Linked DNA regions of Anolis sagrei. The protein of the gene in region 1 purifies or fractionates together with the protein of each later gene. This does not show direct contact. Links are inferred from orthologs where the notes say so. Each region holds a gene or a part of one and is shown in the gene's direction. Other genes may lie near its edges.

Region 1 (10,257 bases):
TGAGTCCACAGTGCTCTCTGGATATAGGTGAACTACAACTCCCAAACTCAAGATCAATGCCCATCAAACTCTTCTAATGTTTTCTTTTGGTCATGGGAGTCCTGTGTGCCACATTTGGTTCAATTCCATCACTGGTGGAGTTCAGAATGCTCTTTGATTAACTATAAATCCCAGCAACTACAATGCCCAAATGACATCTTTTGTTTTTTTTGAGTGATGGTCACTCCTTGGGTTAGTAGGTGTCTTGTGGTCAAATTTGGTGTCAATTTTTCCAGTGGTTTTTTGAGTTATGTTAATTTCACAAACGAACATTACATTTTTATTTATATAGATATAACATATAATAATGTTATTACATTACGTAGTCATATAATATGTTGTTATTATATTATATTATATTATTTGATCCCATTGGTTTGGGTCATTAATATAGTATGTTATTATTATTGTATAATAATAATAATAATAATAATAATAACTTTATTTTTATATCCCGCCTCCATTTCCCCGAAGGGACTCGGGGCAGCTTACATGGGTCCAAGCTGAAATAGCAAAGTTAAAACATAGTACATCAAAGTGCACCAACAGCAATTTAAAACAACATAAACAACATTAAACCAATTATAAAACAGGCGTCAAAACCAACAGCAATAACATGATCCAGTCTCGACATGGGTGGTGGCCTGGTGTCCAACAGATCCGAGGATAGGGAAATGAATAAAGTGCATAGGGCATGTAGCTGTGTTAAGGATAGAGATAAAATATTTACTACTATTTTATAGATAAAATGGTAGTAAAGTGCATAGTCAAATTTTGGGATCCTACCTAAGGACCCCCAAAATTATATTATATTATACAATAATATAATATTTTTTTTATTATATAATACATTATTATTATATTATATAGTCATATAATATAATAATATATTGTTATATTGTATTACATTATATTATTCGATCCCATAGCATTGGGCCCTCATTATATTATACTATATTATTATATAATAATAGTATATAATACAATATAATATTATTTTATATAGTAATATAATAATAATTTGTTATATTGTATTATATTATTTGATCCCTTAGCATTGGGTCATTAATGTAGTATGTTATATTATTGTCTCATAGTAAAGATAAAGGTTTTCCCTTAACATTAAGTCTAGTCATGTCCGACTCTGGGGTGTGGTGCTCATCTCCATTTCTAAGCTGAAGAGCCAGCATGACTGCACGGAGCATCGTTACCTTCCCACCGGAGCAGTTCCTATTGATCTACTCACATTTGCATGTGAGTTGCAGGTCGAACACGGAATTCCCTGCCCTCAAGCTAATCTGACCGGCAGCAGGGCGTTCCTCAGTTCTCCATTGCCCCGCTTGGGCCAACCTCATGAACGTGGGCACAGCAGCAGCTGCAACTCAGAAGCCATCTTATTTCTTTGCCTTTTCCCCTTCCTAACGTTGTAACTAATCCCCCCAATAAAAAGTATCAATTAATTGTAACCTTTTTCCTCTTCATGGTGTTACTTGGTGTCTCTTTATTGCCTCAAATTTCTCTTTTCATAAAACTTTCCTCTCCCGGGCTGCAGATGACTGCCAGCCCTCCTGGGTTGCGATTTTTGCGTCCCGGGGAGGCAGAAACTGCGTTCCCTTAAACCGCGGATATGGAAACCCCCTTGGGCCCCTGTATCAGCGAGTCAACAGATCGCTTCGAAAATGGTGTCATTCTTCTGGGAGAATTCCAGTGGCTATCTCGGTTTCGCTCCGCTGTCCTCTCCGCCCCAGGAATAACCTTTTTTTGTCTCTAAAACTTCAGCCTGGAGCCCAGCTGTTTTTCCAAGGAGATTGCCTCGTTGCCACCATTTTGTGGATGTCCAGGGAGCATGCTGATCTTGGGCAACTGTCGCAGTCACCCCAGAGGAACCCCAAGATGTCAGCAGGCTGCCTGAGTCCTTGGTATGGAGGGATCTGTAGTTCTCTCCACGGATCTCAATCTTCAACGTTGGCAGTCGGCTCATAAGGACTCTGTGGACACTGGGACACCTTTTCCCACTTGCCTTTTCTGGATTTCACAACTTTGATCAACTTTCCCAAACTTTCAAGAACTTTTAAAAACTTGGTGGACTACCTTGCATGAATAGGGATGATATGATTTCATGCTTATGAACTTATTCCTTTGGACTCTAGTGGGTGGGATGAGTGTATTATGAAATCCCTTTATGCTTCATTGTCCCTTATGTGTCTCCCTTGAACCTTATGTATGTGTCTGTATATGAAATATGGGAAGCCACCCTTTTCGTGACCCCAGTGAAACACCAGCCTTGGGAAGTTCATTTCCTAGGGCAAATTTCCATTGATTCTAGGTTTTCAACAAAGACTATTTACATGATAATAACCAGGCTCTCCCTCAGTTTCGGATCATGACCACTTGGGAAAGGGCCCCTGGTAAACTAGTCATCTATCAACAAAGAAACATCCTGCCTCCAAGGGAGGCCAGGATATCCCAGCCTTCCTCCCTTTTGTCATTTCCCCTTGGACCAAGAAAATCTACCAAATTACAAAGTGATCCAATATCTAAGACAAGGAAATACCAGGGCTTGGCAATCGTGCCCGCTATAAAGATACGCTCTTGATGGCCAAACAATATAACTGGACAGGGGCAAACAGATCCCAACACTGTCCCTCCTTCAATAAGGAATTCACACCACTTTGGCACTTATAGTGTTTGAGGGGATGTCTCTTGATTAAAACCTTCGCTGCCACCATAAACTGAAGAATCAGGAACCCTCTAGCTATTTAGAATGTTAAAAGGCTTTTCTAGGACCACCAAACACTGTGTATTAAAAAGGGCTTCTTTGAGGGGAAACAGGAGAGGTTGATTTAAAAAGAAAAAAAGACTGAATCTACAAATGGCACTTGACTCAGGCTTAAATTTTAAAAATAACAAGAAAGGTTTATTGAATACAAGTTACAGAATAAAAGTGAATGCAGTTGTAGAGTCTTTGCTGTTACAAATTAAAGTGTTCTTGGTTCTTAGAAGCGTAATGGTTGCTTGAGAGAATGGTTCTATTCTTTGTTACAATTCCTAAAGAAAACCCAGCTATTTCCTTTCTAAAATAGCTGTAACCAGTCTGCCACAGCCTACTTTGCTGTGCAAACTACAGGCAAGCTGCCTATTCCTAACAGAGACTCCTAAAACTCTAATCCTACTCTAACATCACCCAGAACTGAACTGAACTGTCAAAATAAGCTTCTCTCTTTCCCTCCAACTGGCTAACTCCGCCCCCCTTTTCCAAACCAATCCTGGCTGTTGCTGGGCTGGCACAGGCCTAGGCCACTCCCCCTCTCTGAACTGGAGTCTTCCCTAAACTAAGATGGCTCCTGCCGCTCTCTGCCAGGCCTTCCTAAGCTGAAACTACCTAGCCTGTCTCTTCCTAGGCCCTGCCACCCCCCAGCTGGCAAGGTAAGGGATCTTTACACCCGCCATATCTGCATATCGCAACCTTTCAAGAATACCCAGCCAGCTTGAGGAATCTTTTCTTTTGATTAATCGCCAGCCATTTGGACACATTGAGCCATTCTAATTCAATCATCTGGACATTCCTTTCATTGTTCTTCCCAAGGACCGCCTCCTCCGCTCCTATTGGTCGAAAGCTCGAAGTGGCACTGGCTTTCTGATTCACTGAGGCGCAGTCAAGCTGGCTGCGCCTCCTCTCCAGCTGATGACAACAACCAATCAGGAGAAGGCTGGCTGAGGGGTGGGAAATTTGAACTTTGACAGCTCTGTTTCTCTATAAAAATGTACTGCAATGTATTGAATGTATGTCTCTCCTGACGAACTATCGCGGTTTGACATCCGTACCAGCTGGATGAAATAAATACAACTCGGTGGCTTTTCTTCAATTTTGGTGAGATTTATTGGGAAAAATCTGGGGAAAATTCTATTGGCTTTTCCTTTGCTCGCCAGAGTTCCGGATCCTCATTTTTTAATTTTTTTATTTAGAGCTTTTATAACCCGGTCTTCTCGACCTCCGAAGAGGGACTCAGGCCGGCTAACAGCAGAAAATTCAACACATATATAATGAACATAATAGCATCATAATACATTAATACATTAAAATACAGATCATACAATATCACACAAAAGCCATGTTTTTACCAGCTTTCTGAAAGTCAGGAGGGAAGAGGCGGATCTAATCTCCAATGGGAGAGAGTTCCAGAGCCGAGGGGCCACCACCGAGAAGGTGCTGTCCCTCGTCCCCACCAGACACAATTGTGAAGGTGGTGGGACCGAGAGCAGGCCCCCTCCAGAAGATCTTAACAACCTTGATGGTTCATAGGAGAGAATCCGTTTGGACAGGTAAACTGGGCCGGAGTCGTTTAGGGATTTATAGGTCAACACCAGCACTTTGGTGGGTCTTAGGGCTCCGTTCTCCTGGGTGAGTCTCCAAACTCTAGCTCAATATCATTAGGCTGGCAGAAGCTGGGGCTGACAGCGGAAGCTCATGCCGCTTCCCAGATTTGAACCTGCAACCTTTCGGTCAGCAAGGTCAGCAGCCCAGCAGTTTAACCCACTGCGCCACCAGTGTCTCCCTATTGTATAATATAATAATATAATATTTTATTGTATTGTCGAAGGCTTTCATGGCCGGAATCACTGGGTTGTTGTAGGTTTTTCCGGGCTATATGGCCATGTTCTGTATCAGACACTGATATTTTATTTATTATATAATACATTATTATTTTATTACATTATGTGATACTAGCTGTACCCTGCCACGCGTTGCTGTGGTCCAGTCTGTTGATCTGGAAAATAAAGTAATGAGAAAGTGTTGGTTTCTAATATACGTAATTTCTTTATGCTTGCAGGTAAACCGTACTTCTTGTTTCTTTGTCACTGTTGATGTGGAGAGTGTCTGGTTTGCCCACCCTGGAACATGCAACATATCATTGTCCTTCTTTAAGGGTCCCTTTCAAATCTATGATACTATATCTCTCTGTGTGTGAATCATATGTATCTGTCTGTCTGTCTATCTATCTAATCTATGGCTGGATGGCTCTTTGTCAGGAGGGTTTTGATAACGTTTTCTTGCCCTGAAGAAGGGAGTTAGATTGGATGGCCTTAAGTATTTTCTGTTGGTCATGGGGGTTCTGTGTGGGAAGTTTGCCCCAATTCTATCGCTTGTGGGGTTCATCATGCTCTTTGATTGTAAGTGAACTGTGAATCCCAGTGATTACAACTCTCAAATGTCAAGGTCTATTTCCCCCAAACTCCATCTGTGTTCATATTTGGGTGTATCGAGTGTTTGTGCCCAGTTTGGTCCCGATCCATCATTGTTTGAGTCCACAGTGCTCTCTGGATGTAGGAGAACTACAACTCCCAAACTCAAGGTCAATGCCCACCAAACCCTTCCAGTATTTTCTGTTGGTCATGGGAGTTCTGTGTGCCAAGTTTGGTTCAATTCCATCATTGATGGAGTTCAGAATGCTCTTTGAGTGTAGGTGAACTATAAATCCCAGCAACTACAACTCCCAAATGACAAAATCATAATTTTTTTGAGTGATGGTCACTCCTTGTGTGGTGAGATGTTTTGTTGCCAAATTTGGTGTGATTTCGTTCACTGGTTCTTTTGTTTTTAAGGTACTCATTATGAACAGAGCATTTTTATATATATAGAAGATAGATAGTCATATAATAATATACTGTTATATTGTATTGTATTATTCGATCCCATAGCATTGGATCCTTATTATATATTATTATATAATAATATTATATTGTATTATATCATAATATAATATTAAAAAGTATTATATTAATTATGTTATGCTATATTATATTATATTATATTATATTATATTATATTATAAAGCCATGGTATTCCCTGTAGTCACCTACGGATGTGAGAGCTGGACCTTAGGGAAGGCTGAGCGAAGGAAGATCGATGCTTTTGAGCTGTGGTGTTGGAGGAAAGTGCTGAGAGTGCCTTGGACTGCGAGAAGATCCAACCAGTCCATCCTCCAGGAAATAAAGCCCGACTGCTCACTGGAGGGAAAGATACTAGAGACAAAGCTGAAGTACTTTGGCCACATCATGAGGAGACAGGAAAGCCTAGAGAAGACAATTATGCTGGGGAAAGTGGAAGGCAAAAGGAAGAGGGGCCGACCAAGGGCAAGATGGATGGATGGCATCCTTGAAGTGACTGGACTGACCTTGAGGGAGCTGGGGGTGGTAACGGCCGACAGGGAGCTCTGGCGTAGGCTGGTCCATGAGGTCACGAAGAGTCGGAGACGACTGAACGAATGAACAACAACAATATTATATTATATTATTTGTAGAGTTTAAATGTACCCTGAGATATTTTCATGAGAGATCTGGTGTATGACACCCAAGCCTAAAAAAGACAGTCATTTATGTTGCAGAGACGCACAGCCTGAAATATAATATTTTGTGTGTGCATGAAACCAAGCCATCAGAAAGCAAAGCAGAGAAGCCAGCAAGTTCCTGTCTTGCTCTAATCAAGAGCCGCGAATGGGAACCGGAAGTGAAGAGTTGTTCCTCGTCTTCTTTCATGAGGAGCTGATCGGTGGCCGAAAGAGGGGCCAAGGAGGCGAGCAAACCGTAAGATCGGGGCCGAGGGGGGGATCGGGGCCGGGCTGAAAAGGTAGGACTGCAAAAAGAAAGGGAAGAGAATGCCTCAGGCCGTGTGCAAAAGCCAGAGATGGCTTGGATTGGCTGGTTTTCTGCTGCTTTGCAGTCGTTTCCCAGGGAAACGAGATGCAAACAATGAAAAGGGTGCATATGCTGCACGGTCGAATGAGGACAGCTTGACCTCCCCTGAACTGCTTTGGCTCCAGATAGGGGATCCTGCGAGTTGTGGTTCGGCGGGGAAGACTCAAGACCTTGGGAAACTAGAACTTGCAGGAAGACCTATTACCCTGAGCCCGGGCAGTTTAAATGGCGCGTCTACATTGTGGAATGGATGCAGGTTGACCCCATTTAAACTGCCTGGGCTCAGGGTAATAGGTCTTCCTGGAAGTTCTAGTTTCCCAAGGTCTTGAGCCCCCTCTGGGTGCTTCTATGCTGCTGAAGACCTTGGGACTCAAGACCTTGGGAAACTAGAACTTACAGGAAGACCTATTACCCTGAGCCCGGGCAGTTTAAATTGGGTCAACCTGCATCATTCCACAATGTAGACGCGCCCTATAGTGAACTCAGTGCAATGGTGTCCTGGGAGTTGTAGTTCTCCAAGGCCTGCTAAACTATAACTCGCAGGATTCCATACCCCGGAGGCCTGGCAGTTCAAGGGACATCAAGCTCCATTCATTCAGCAGCACAGATGCACGCAGAGGAGGCTCAAGACCTTGGGAAACTAGAACTTCCAGGAGGACCTATTACCCTGAGCCCGGGCAGTTCAAATTGGGTCCACCTGCATCCATTCCACAATGTAGACGCACCCTATGGTGAACTCAGTGCAATGGTGTCCTGGGAGTTGTAGTTCTCCAAGGCCTGCCAAACTATAACTCGCAGGATTCCATACCCTGGAGGCCTAGCAGTTCAAGGGAGATTAATCTGCATTCATTCAGCAGCATAGATGCCCCCAGAGGGGGCTCAAGACCTTGGGAAACTTGAACTTCCAGGAGGACCTATTACCCTGAGCCCAGGCAGTTTAAATGGGGTCAACCTGCATCCATTCCACAATGTAGACGCGCCCTATGGTGAACTCAGTGCAATGGCGTCCTGGGAGTTGTAGTTCTCCAAGGCCTGCCAAACTATAACTCGCAGAATTCCATACCCTGGAGGCCTGGCAGTTCAAGGGACATCAAGCTGCATTCATTCAGCAGCATAGATGCTTCTGCTCCAGGGTAATAGGCCCTCCTGGAAGTTCTAGTTTCCCAAGGTCTTGAGCCCCCTCTGGGTGCTTCTATGCTGCTGAAGACCTTGGGACTCAAGACCTTGGGAGACTAGAACTTCCAGGAAGACCTATTACCCTGAGCCCAGGCAGTTTAAATTGGGTCAACCTGTATCCATTCCACAATGTAGACGAGCCCTATGGTGAACTCAGTGCAATGGCATCCTGGGAGTTGTAGTTTTCCAAGGCCTGCCAAACTATAACTCGCAGGATTCCATACCCTGGAGGCCTGGCAGTTCAAGGGACATCAAGCTGCATTCATTCAGCAGCATAGATGCTTCTGCTCCAGGGTAATAGGTCCTCCTGGAAGTTCTAGTTTCCCAAGGTCTTGAGCCCCATCTGGGTGCTTCTATGCTGCTGAAGACCTTGGGACTCAAGACCTTGGGAAACTAGAACTTCCAGGAAGACCTATTGCCCTGAGCCTGGGCAGTTTAAATGGGGTCAACCTGCATCATTCCACAATGTAGACGCGCCCTATGGTGAACTCAGTGCAATGGCATCCTGGGAGTTGTAGTTCTCCAAGGCCTGCTAAACTATAACTCGCAGGATTCCATACCCTGGAGGCCTGGCAGTTCAAGGGACATCAAGCTGCATTCATTCAGCAGCATAGATGCTTCTGCTCCAGGGTAATAGGCCCTCCTGGAAGTTCTAGTTTCCCAAGGTCTTGAGTCTCCTCTGGGAGCTTCTATGCTGCTGAAGACCTTGGGACTCAAGACCTTGGGAAACTAGAACTTCCAGGAAGACCTATTACCCTGAGCCCAGGCAGTTTAAATTGGGTCAACCTGCATCCATTCCACAATGTAGACGCGCCCTATGGTGAACTCAGTGCAATGGTGTCCTGGGAGTTGTAGTTCTCCAAGGCCTGCTAAACTATAACTCGCAGGATTCCGTACCCTGGAGGCCTGGCAGTTCAAGGGACATCAAGCTGCATTCATTCAGCAGCATAGATGCTTCTGCTCCAGGGTAATAGGCCCTCCTGGAAGTTCTAGTTTCCCAAGGTCTTGAGTCCCCTCTGGGAGCTTCTATGCTGCTGAAGACCTTGGGACTCAAGACCTTGGGAAACTAGAACTTCCAGGAAGACCTATTGCCCTGAGCCCGGGCAGTTTAAATTGGGTCAACCTGCATCCATTCCACAATGTAGACGCGCCCTATGGTGAACTCAGTGCAATGGTGTCCTGGGAGTTGTAGTTCTCCAAGGCCTGCTAAACTATAACTCGCAGGATTCCGTACCCTGGAGGCCTGGCAGTTCAAGGGACATCAAGCTGCATTCATTCAGCAGCATAGATGCTTCTGCTCCAGGGTAATAGGTCCTCCTGGAGGTTCTAGTTTCCCAAGGGTTTGAGCCCCCTCTGGGAGCTTCTATGCTGCTGAAGACCTTGGGACTCAAGACCTTGGGAAACTAGAACTTCCAGGAAGACCTATTACCTTGAGCCCAGGCAGTTTAAATGGGGTCAACCTGCATTCATTCCACAATGTAGACGCACCCTATGGTGAACTCAGTGCGATGGCATCCTGGGAGTTGTAGTTCTCCAAGGCCTGCCATACTATAACTTGCAGGATCCCATAGGCTGGAGTCCTAGCAGTTCAAGGGAGATCAAGCTGCATTCATTCAGCAGCGTAGATGCACCCAGAGGAGGTTCAAGACCTTGGGAAACTAGAACTTCCAGGAGGACCTATTACCCTGAGCCTGGGCAGTTTAAATTGGGTCAACCTGCATCCATTCCACAATGTAGACGTGCCCTATGGTGAACTCAGTGCAATGGTGTCCTGGGAGTTGTAGTTCTCCAAGGCCTGCCATGCTATAACTCGCAGGATCCCATAGGCTGGAGGCCTAGCAGTTCAAGAGAGATCAAGCAGCATTCATTCAGCAGCGTAGATGCACCCAGAGGAGGCTCAAGATCTTGGGAAACTAGAACTTCTAGGAGGGCCTATTACTCCCAGCAATATGTCCCTAATTGTACCTTATTAGTGATCTAGAACTGTCTGAACGCCCCATTCTTTTCCGAAATTCTATCCTAGTTATATTTCACCTGGTCTTGTCCAGCATTATTTTAAAATTTTAACTATTACATTTGGCCCAGCCATTGGTTTTTAAATGTTATTGTGTTATTGTCGATGTTTACTGCCTATTTTTTGTTTATGAGCTTTATTTTATGGTTTTGTATTACTGCTGTTGTTGTTTTTTGCTGATGTACTGTGGGCTCGGCCTCATTTAAGCCGCACTGAGTCCCTTGGGGAGATGGTAGCGGGGCATAAATAAAGTATTATTATTATTATTATTATTATTATTATTATTATTATTACCCTGAGCCCAGGCAGTTTAAATGGGGTCAACCTGCATC
Region 2 (9,350 bases), on another chromosome or scaffold:
AAAGATTTCAAATATGTGGGGAACAATGACAGTCCATGCAATTTTGATATATAAGGCTAAGTAGCAAATCCCAATCCACATCCACCCAAGTTAATGTATGGAATACTCTTGGAGAGGAGTCAGAAAACTCCAGAAGCATCTCTACCACTAAAATGTCAACAATAAAAAAAATCCTAACAATTTGTTGCTTTTCTGTGGAATTCCAAATTGTCTCCTTGAGGCAGCTATTTTACTAAGTAGGCAGGGTCTACCTCACTGAGAGGACCCATAAAACCATAACCTTGAGGAAGTGGGCAGATTTGTCCTTGATTTAGTCCAGCAGACTGACCTAAAACAGCAGACTTAAGATGGTTATACTATTCTTATACTCCAATGAATTGATTACACCTTCCTTAGAGATAATGAAGTCCCATCTGGAGCAGTCTGGGGAGGGAAGTTTGCCATAATTTCTATTATGAGCTATCCCAGCTCCCATTAAAACATTACTAGAGAATGCTACTGGTTATTCCTGCCTATTATTAACTCCCTGCAAGGTGTAGCCTCTTTATGTCACTGATACTGAAGCCAGTATCTTACTGATAGTTACTTAACAAACTTAAGAGAGTGCAAAAGAGTCCTTTAGGGTGTTGCCCCAATTAGATTCAACACTCCCTTATTGCAATCATGATCCTTTCTAAGATTTTTTTTCAGTTCCATGTGTTTGTCTCAGAGGTAACTCCCACACTTTTGAAAAGAACTTAACCTCCTGTGGGTGTACGCAGAATTGCGCCACAATGGATTTTACTGTGTGGAAACTTTTCTCCCTTTCTTTTTTCAAAACCTGAAAGCTGCAGGCCAAATTTTTTGTACAGCACATAAATTAGCCACATTTTATTTTGTTAGTTTGTAGACTGCTTTGGTCCAATTCTAGAAGAAGGGTGGGATATAAATTAAACAAACAAACAAATAAGAAGCATTGTACTTACCTGGAGGATGAGGTCTGTTGTAATGAATAGTGGAGATCACATATCCTTCCTTCTAGCATAGAATCAAGTGAAAACTTATCCCCCCCCCTTGTTTCAGAATTCTTTATTATTTATATTCTACCTTTCTCAAGGTAACTTACAATTTCATGACACAACCAATAAATTTAAAAACATGGCAAATACAAAAGTTAAAGAACAATTAAAAGCAATTAAATAGTTGTGTCATGTATTCAAAATTATGATTAAGATTCAATAAAATAACTCATAAAATTAAAATTAGATTTAAAATGAAATATCATCCCCGACTCTCCTTCCAGCCTCCCCTGCAGCATTCCCCTCTTCCTTCCCCAATTGCCTGCTGGCAGAGAAAAGTCTTAATTTGCCTGCAGAAGGCCAGCAGGGTCTCTCCTGGGAGGGAGTTCCATAGTCTGGGAGAAGCCACTGAAAAGGCCTTCTCCACTGTTCTCACCAAATGCACTTTAGCAGGTGGTGAGACAGACAAGGCCCTCTCTAGTAGATCCTAGATATCTAGCAGGTTCATAGAAAGATAAGGGCTTTGTATCACTCTGAATGGTTCCCGGAAATGTGTTGACAGCCAGTGGAACTGCTACAACAAAGGAGTTGGACACCCCCTGTTGCCAACCCCGATTAATAACCTGGCTACTGCTATTTGGACCAGCTGAAGTTTCTGAGCACTTTTCAAAGGTAGCCCCCCATAGAGTGCATAACAGTAGTCCAAGCAGGCTGTAACCCACACTGTGGCCAGATCTGACTTCTCCAGGATTGGGCACAGTTGGCATACTAGCTTTAATAAAAGACTCCTGGTTACTGCTAGTACCTAGGCCTCCAAGTTCAGAACCAAATCCAAGATTATCCCCAAACTGTTAACCTGTGTTTTCAGGTGGAGTGTGACCCCATCTAACACAGACTGAATCTCTGTTCCCAGATTTGTTTTACGACTGACAAAGAGCACCTCTGTCTTGTCTGGATTAAGCTTCAATTTGTTTGCCCTCATCCAGTCCATTGCAGCTGCCAGGCACCAGTTTAGCACAGGAACCACTTCCTTGGAAGTAGGTGAAAAGGAGGCAAACTGGAACTCTGAGGGACTCCAGAAGCCAGTACCTTCCAGACCCATTCCAGAAAGGCAACTCAGAAGGATACCATGGTCAATGGTATGAAAAGCCACTGAAAAGTCCAGGAGAACCAACAGAAACACACTCCCCTCTGTCCAGTTGTCCATGTATGTCATCCACTAAGGTGACCAAAGCTATCTTATTATTTATTGTTAACTTTATTAATATCCCACTTTTCTCTGCATGGGGACTCAAGGCAGCTAACTATCCCACACTTTGCCCCTTATCCTTCCCCAAATGCCTGCTGGCAGAAGAAGTTCTTGACCTGTCTGCAGAAGGAGAGCAGGAATGGGGCCATCCTGGTTTCTCTTGGGAGGGAGTTACACAATTTGGGTGCAGAAGTCCCTCTCCTATGTTCCTTGAGTGTATGGTGTGACAGAGAGAATGCCCTCCCCAGTCGATTGCAGATGTCTCCCAGGTTCATAGAAAGAGATACAGTCCTTCAGATCTGGAACGGAGCTGTGAAGGGATTTGTAGACCTTTGTCCTATAACCAGGCCTGAAACCAGATTGAAATGGATATAGACTATCATTTGCGAAGTTGAATTTCATATGGAAAATGACTCAAAGAGTGTGGCTCTTTGGTGGGGAATGTAAGGGATGGTAGAAGTCACATACTTTCCTCTCCAACATATCCTTCAAATGTTCCACTATTCTTTGGTTTATATACCAGCAAGATGCAAATCCCAAATACAAGTGACCTTTTTCCTCTGCTGGAAACCGCATTCTCAATCCAACTCCAGTCACTATGGCTTGTAACTGTGCTTAGGATCACTATTTGGGCTGCAGTCTTTTATAGTTGCTCCCCACATTTGAAGGTTTGACTTTTGAAGATTTGATTATTCATGGAATTGATTAAAATGTTCTTTATATGACTTGGTAGGACCACCAATGCGATGGTATGCTTAACTTCCATAGACATTGACCATAAAATCATGCTAGAGGATCTAGACATTCCTAGGGAGGGATTACCTTCCGTAAAAAATTAACACTATATGTAATATACTTTGTGTACAGTTTTGAAGATATAAACCCTTGGGATAGAGATTTGTTAATGTAAAAACAAGCAGAAATAAATAATTTGCTGGCTATAAGGAGGAGGAAGAAAATGCTAAATTATAGAGAAATAGGCAAAAGTGAAGCAGGAAATCCTCTCTTAAAAAACAGATTTATGCATGCAAGTTTCTATTTTAAAGTTATATGTCATTAGAGTAGAGATGCACATTTGTAGGAGAAATTGTGTAGCTAGTTATACAGTTGTCATTTATGTATGTGTATATATATCTGCTATATGCCTGTGAGACGTAGACTATCTACAGATGTCTCATGCAACTCCTAGAACAATTCCATCAGTGTTGCCTCTGAAAAATATCTTGGGAAGACAAGCAGACAAATGTCAGCATGCTGGAAGAAGCAAAGACCACCAGCATTTAAGTGATGCTCCTCTGTCATCAACTCTGCTGGACCATGTTGTCCGTATGGCCAACCACCGTCTCCCAAAGCAGTTACTGTACTCCAAACTCAAGAATGGAAAATAGAATATTGGTGGGCAGGAAAAGAGATTTAAAGATGGGCTCAAAGCCAACCTTAAAAACTGTGGCATAGACACTGAGAACTGGGAAGCCCTGGCCTGTTAGTGATCCAGCTGGAGGTCAGCTGTGAACAGCAGTGCTGCAGAATTTGAAGAGGCACGAATGGAGGGTGAAAGAGAGAAACGTGCCAAGAGGAAGGAGCGTCAAGCCAACCCTGACCGGTACCGCCTTCCATCTGGAAACCGATGCTGTCACTGTGGGAGAAGATGCAGATCAAAAATAGGGCTCCACAGTCACCTATGGACCCACTACTAAGACATCGATCTTGGAAGACAATCCTACTCGGACAACGAGGGATCGCCTAAGTAAGTAAGTATGTAAGTTTTTGTTTCTTTGGGTTTCTTATGTTAAATTTTAAATTAAGAAAATGAATATATATATATACATATATATATATAAAATTCCAGTTATTATTATTATTAATAATTTATTTCTATCCTACTTTTCTTCGAGATTGGGACTCAAAGAGGCGAATAAAATGGGAACACAAACATTACAATCATTAAAAAATAATCAATTAAACCACAACATCTCATTAAAAAATTATAAAACACGCAATGCCATAATAAAGAAGTAGTAAAGAAGTAATAAACAATCAATAGAATTAAAATCGCATCAAGTAGACAAGAAAAACAATAAAAAGAGCATTTTTGGAATGGATGGAAACTCAGTTCAGCACCATGGAAAGCTCCCTTAAACTCTGGAACAGAAACCAAGGCGGATTTCTGGCCCTCCTCATTGGTCCAAGTGATGTGCAACACAAATATGTTACAAATTAACTCAAAAGCCCCAAAATGCACAAAGTAGAGCAATGGGCCTAGAAGTATTTTTTTTTATTTAAGAGAATTAAGCTATTTGTTTATTGTAGTTTCTCCTCTTAAAACGGCTGGGTATATCCCTAACCCCCCCATGCTAACTAATGGATTCGTCCATAGAACGTTGCGAATGGCTCTATTAAAGAATATGACGTTCCCTTCAGTTTCAGGGCCTTTCCATTCTCTGGCCGGGGGGGGGGGAGGAGAGTGCTATTGACAGCACTGCGCCGGAATGATTGGCAGGAAGGAAACACACACATACACATACACCCCTCCTTTTTACTATCACTATCCTCTCGCGATGTCAGCGCCTGCCTCCCATTCATGAGGACTCGCGAGGCTTGGGTTCCTGTTCCCACGCCTGTTGTGTCTGCCTCTTGAGACGAGGGAAAAAGGGAAGCAGCTGGGAGTCAGTGAGCAGAGCACGTGGGCGGGGCCAACGTTCTGCCTGTAGCCCCGCCCCTCGGCCTTTTGTTTTTCTCGCTCGTGCGCGTGCGCGTTCTCGGAGGGAGGGAGGGAAATGCGGGATGCGCGCGCCTTTCCTGCTAGTGGCGGCGGACACATTGGCCGCTTCTCGCGAGAGTAGGAGTTTTGGCGAGAGTTTGTGGAAGATGGCGCCTGTTGTGACAGGGTGAGTGCGGGGGGGTTCGTGGCATAGTTGCTCCGTAGTCGGTTCCTCCCGCTCTTTCTCGGGCCGCCGGGCCTCGGCCTCTCGGCTGGCACTCCTGGCCTCCCACTGGGGCCGGGCTTTCTTCCTCCTCCGGGAGGAGCGTGTGTGCGGTGCGTGGGGTTGTGTGCGAGGGCGGGTGGCCGGGGGGAGGCCGCGTTGCTCGGCCGTTGAGGGGCGAGGAGTGTGAGGGGTTTTCTGCCCGAGTTTCCATAGGGACCCTCGTGCCTGTGAGGGCCCGGTCGCTCCTCTGTGGAGCCCCTGGCTCACTCCGAGTTCCCAGCGGGGAACACAAAGCGAGAGAGCTGAGGGACCTGCTTTCTCTTCTGTCAAAACTCTCCCGCTTCGAAACCCTTCTCCAGACAAAGCACAGGGTGGCTTTTTAGGGCCCAGAGGACCCATTCCGGTAGACATCTGACTTGGCCACTTGGTCCATGCACTGTTTACTTAGGCGATCCCTCGTTGGACGAGTAAGATGGTCTTCCATGATGGGTTTCCTTGTGGGTTCGTAGGTGGCTGTGGAGCCCTTGACCCGCATTTTCTCCCACAGTGAAGGCATTGGTTTCCAGGTGGAAGGCGGTCCCGGTCGGGGTTGACGCGCCTTCCTCCTGGCACGTTTCTCTCTTTCACCCTCCACTCAGTGCCTCCTCGAATTCTGCAGCACTGCTGGTCACAGCTGACCTCCAGCTGGAGCGCTCAAGGGCCAGGGCTTCCCAGTTCTCAGTGTCTATGCCAGAGATTTTAAGGTTGGCTTTGAGGCCATCTTTAAATCTCTTTTCCTGTCCACTAACATTCCGTTTTCCGTTCTTAAGTTCAGATTAGAGCAACTGCTTTGGGAGATGGTGGTTAGGCATCCGGACAATGTGGCCGGTCCTGCGGAGTTGATGGCAGAGGACCATCACTTCAATGCTGGTGGCTTTTTCTTCTTCCACGCTGACATTTGTCCGCTTGTCTTCCCAAGAGATTTGCAGGATTTTCCAGAGGCAGCGCTGATGGAATTGTTCCAGGAGTTGCATGTGACGTCTGTAGACAGTCCACGTTTCGCAGGCATATAGCAGGGTTGGGAGGACAATAGCTTTATAGACAAACACCTTGGTATCCCTACGGATACCAGTATGCTGATGACAATGTCGTCTGTGCGCATTCAGAAGATCTACAAGCCACTCTAAACACCTTCGCAGAAGCATATGAGAAGGTTGGCCTGTCACTGAACATTGAAAAAACCAAAGTGCTGTTCCAGCAGTCGCCAGCCATCCCCTCCCCAATGCCAGAGATACAGCTTAATGGTGTAACATTAGAAAATGTTGACCACTTCCGCTACCTTGGCAGCCACCTCTCCACCAAAGTCAACATCGACACCGAAATACAACACCGCCTGAGCTCTGCGAGTGTAGCATTTTCCCGAATGAAGCAGAGAGTGTTTGAGGATCGGGGAGGGGGGAGGGGATGCACTGCTTACACTGGCCTCGGCGCTGACCCTGGAAGCTCAATTAAAGCTTGTGCACCAACTGCGCCTGTACCTCGAAAAGCCAGATCTGGCCACGGTGGTCCATGCTTTAGATAAGTGATTCCCAACCTTTGGGCCTCCAGGTGTTTTGGATTTTAGCTCCCAGAGTGGTAAGCTGGCTGCGATTTCTGGGAGTTGAAGTCCAAAACACCTGGAGGCCCAAAGCTTTAGTTACATCTCATATGTATTCCTGCAATGCTCTCTTCTTGGGGCTGCCTTTGAAGACAGCTTGGAAACTACATCCAGGATAGACTACTGCAACACGCTCTATGTGTTGCAGTACGCTTCTCTCCTTATGAACCTCTCAGGACTTTAAGATTGTCTGGGAAGGCCCTGCTCTCGGTCCTGCCTTCATGACAAGCATGGTTGGCGGGGACGAGAGACAGGGCCTTCTCAGTGGTGGCCCCTCGGCTATGGAACGCCCTTCTTAAGGACATCAGATCGGCCCCCTCCCTTTTAACATTTCGGAAGAGAGTTAGAATCATAGAATCATCTCTCCAAGAATTTTGTCCATAGCTACAGGTTCCAAAAACTGAAAGTTATCCAAGAAAACAGGACAAAAAGGGACCAAGGTTAAATAGAGTCATAGAATCATAGAATCAAAGAGTTGGAAGAGACCTCATGGGCCATCCAGTCCAACCCCCTGCCAAGAAGCAGGAATATTGCATTCAAATCACCCCTGACAGATGGCCATCCAGCCTCTGTTTAAAAGCTTCCAAAGAAGGAGCCTCCACCACACTCCGGGGCAGAGAGTTCCACGGCTCTCACAGTCAGGAAGTTCTTCCTTATGTTCAGATGGAATCTCCTCCCTTGTAGTTTGAAGCCATTGTTTCGTGTCCTAGTCTGCAAGGAAGCAGAAAACAAGCTTGCTCCCTCCTCCCTGTGGCTTCCTCTCACATATTTATACATGGCTATCATATCTCCTCTCAGCCTTCTCTTCTTCAGGCTAAACATGCCCAGCTCCTTAAGCCGCTCCTCATAGGGCTTGTTCTCCAGACCCTTTATCATTTTAGTCGCCCTCCTCTGGACATATTCCAGCTTGGCTCTTTGAGCAGGCATTTGCAAATAAAGGGTAACAGAAATAGAAAAGTGGAATGGTTAACAATGTGACTGGACAATGTTTTTAATGAGGAGACCCTAATGATACATTTTTATTGATTCTGTTATGGTTTTATTATTCGATTGTTTTATTATATTGAAATTGTATTTTATGATGTTGGTACCAACTTGGTGTTGGTACCATCGGTCCCAAGTTGCCTGCGGGCTGAAAGGGACAGTATATAAATATAGTAAATAAATAAAATAAATAAATACGTGGGATTGCCTTTGAAGACTGCTTGGAAGCTTCAAATAGTTCAACGAGAGACAGCCAGGTTATTAACTGGGGCGGCATACAGGGAGAACACAACTCCCATGTTATGTCAGCTCCCTTATTGCCTGTTTGCTACCACACACATTTCAAAGTGCTGGCTTTGGCCTATAAAGCCGTAAATGGCCCCGGCCCAGTTTATCTGTCCCAATGGATCTCCCTTTACGAACCACCACAAAGAATAAGATCTTCTGGGGAGGCCCTGCTCTTGGTCCTGTCACAGGCGCATTTGGCGGGGACAAGAGTCAGGGCCTTCTCAGTGATTGCCCCCCGTCTATGGAACTCCCTTCCTGACAATATTAGTTCAGCCCTCTCCCTCCTGTCCTTCAGAAAGATGGTGAAGACCTGGCTTTGGGACCAAGCTATTGGGGCAGTGCAATGAGGCAATAATAGAATTATTATTTTTGCGTCTAACAGTGTCCTGAGATGGTTTTTAAGCAACTGATTTTAAAGTGGATATAAGTGATTTTAATGCTTGTGTATATTTATGGTTTTATGCCCCGGCATCGAATACTTGCCATAGATAGATAGAGTGCTTCACCCTGAGTCCCCTGTGGGGCGAGAAGGGCGGAATATAAATGTTTCAAATAAATAAATAAATTGGTACAAAGATCTGCAGCCAGGCTGCTGAAAGGAGCAAACTATCAGGAATGTACCACCCCTGATTAAAGGAACTTCACTGGCTCCCTATATACTTCTGGGCCCAATTCAAAGTGCAGGCCATTATTTATATATATATATATCTATATATTCCACATTTAGGGAAGGTACATTCTCGGGGGCAGCTCCTAAGTTGTGGAACTTGCTGAAATTAGATCAGCTCCCACCCTCATGACATTTAGGAAAGCCGTGAAGACTTCCTTGTTTGAAGCAGCTTTTAACTGAAGCCAAGCACTTATGGATGCAGCAGAGTGGGGAATTTTAGATTGATTTTAATTTTTAATGTGTGGTAATATAAAAAGATTTAAGGATTATTGAACCTCTAATACTTGTTTAGCTATGATTTTTAACTATTTGTATGTGTATTTTTAAATATGAGCCGCCTTGGGTCTGTCTTGGAGAAAGGCGGCATAGAAATATCTGCAATAAATAAATCAATATGGCTATTACTTCTTCCATGAGGAACAAAACCAGACCCCAAATCCTATGACTAAGGCTCCACTGGTTGCTGTAACCAGGTGCAATCCTTTCAAGGGAAAGCTGTTATTTCAGTCCACTCATTAACTACCCATTTGGGGTTGCATAACCTAATTGTCCTCTCCTTGCCCAGCTTGTCACTTCAGTTGGCACGTGTTCTGTATAC

The links. The genes of interacting proteins can lie anywhere in the genome.
Region 2: the proteins of RITA1 (region 1) and RBPJ purify together in Homo sapiens (affinity purification with mass spectrometry; 4 studies listed by BioGRID and IntAct, with this or other methods). This does not show direct contact. The link is inferred for Anolis sagrei from reciprocal best matches to the Homo sapiens genes RITA1 and RBPJ.

Annotation. Positions count from the first base shown.
Region 1 is NC_090034.1:45,199,786-45,210,042, reverse strand, and holds the start of RITA1 (RBPJ-interacting and tubulin-associated protein 1), read left to right. Parts: upstream 1-6,444; 5' UTR 6,445-6,624; intron 6,625-6,638; exon of another isoform or gene 6,639-6,667; intron 6,668-10,257. UniProt on the Homo sapiens protein: Tubulin-binding protein that acts as a negative regulator of Notch signaling pathway.
Region 2 is NC_090025.1:113,055,366-113,064,715, forward strand, and holds the start of RBPJ (recombining binding protein suppressor of hairless), read left to right. Parts: upstream 1-5,004; 5' UTR 5,005-5,031; coding exon 5,032-5,135; intron 5,136-5,197; exon of another isoform or gene 5,198-5,284; intron 5,285-9,350. UniProt on the Homo sapiens protein: Transcriptional regulator that plays a central role in Notch signaling, a signaling pathway involved in cell-cell communication that regulates a broad spectrum of cell-fate determinations.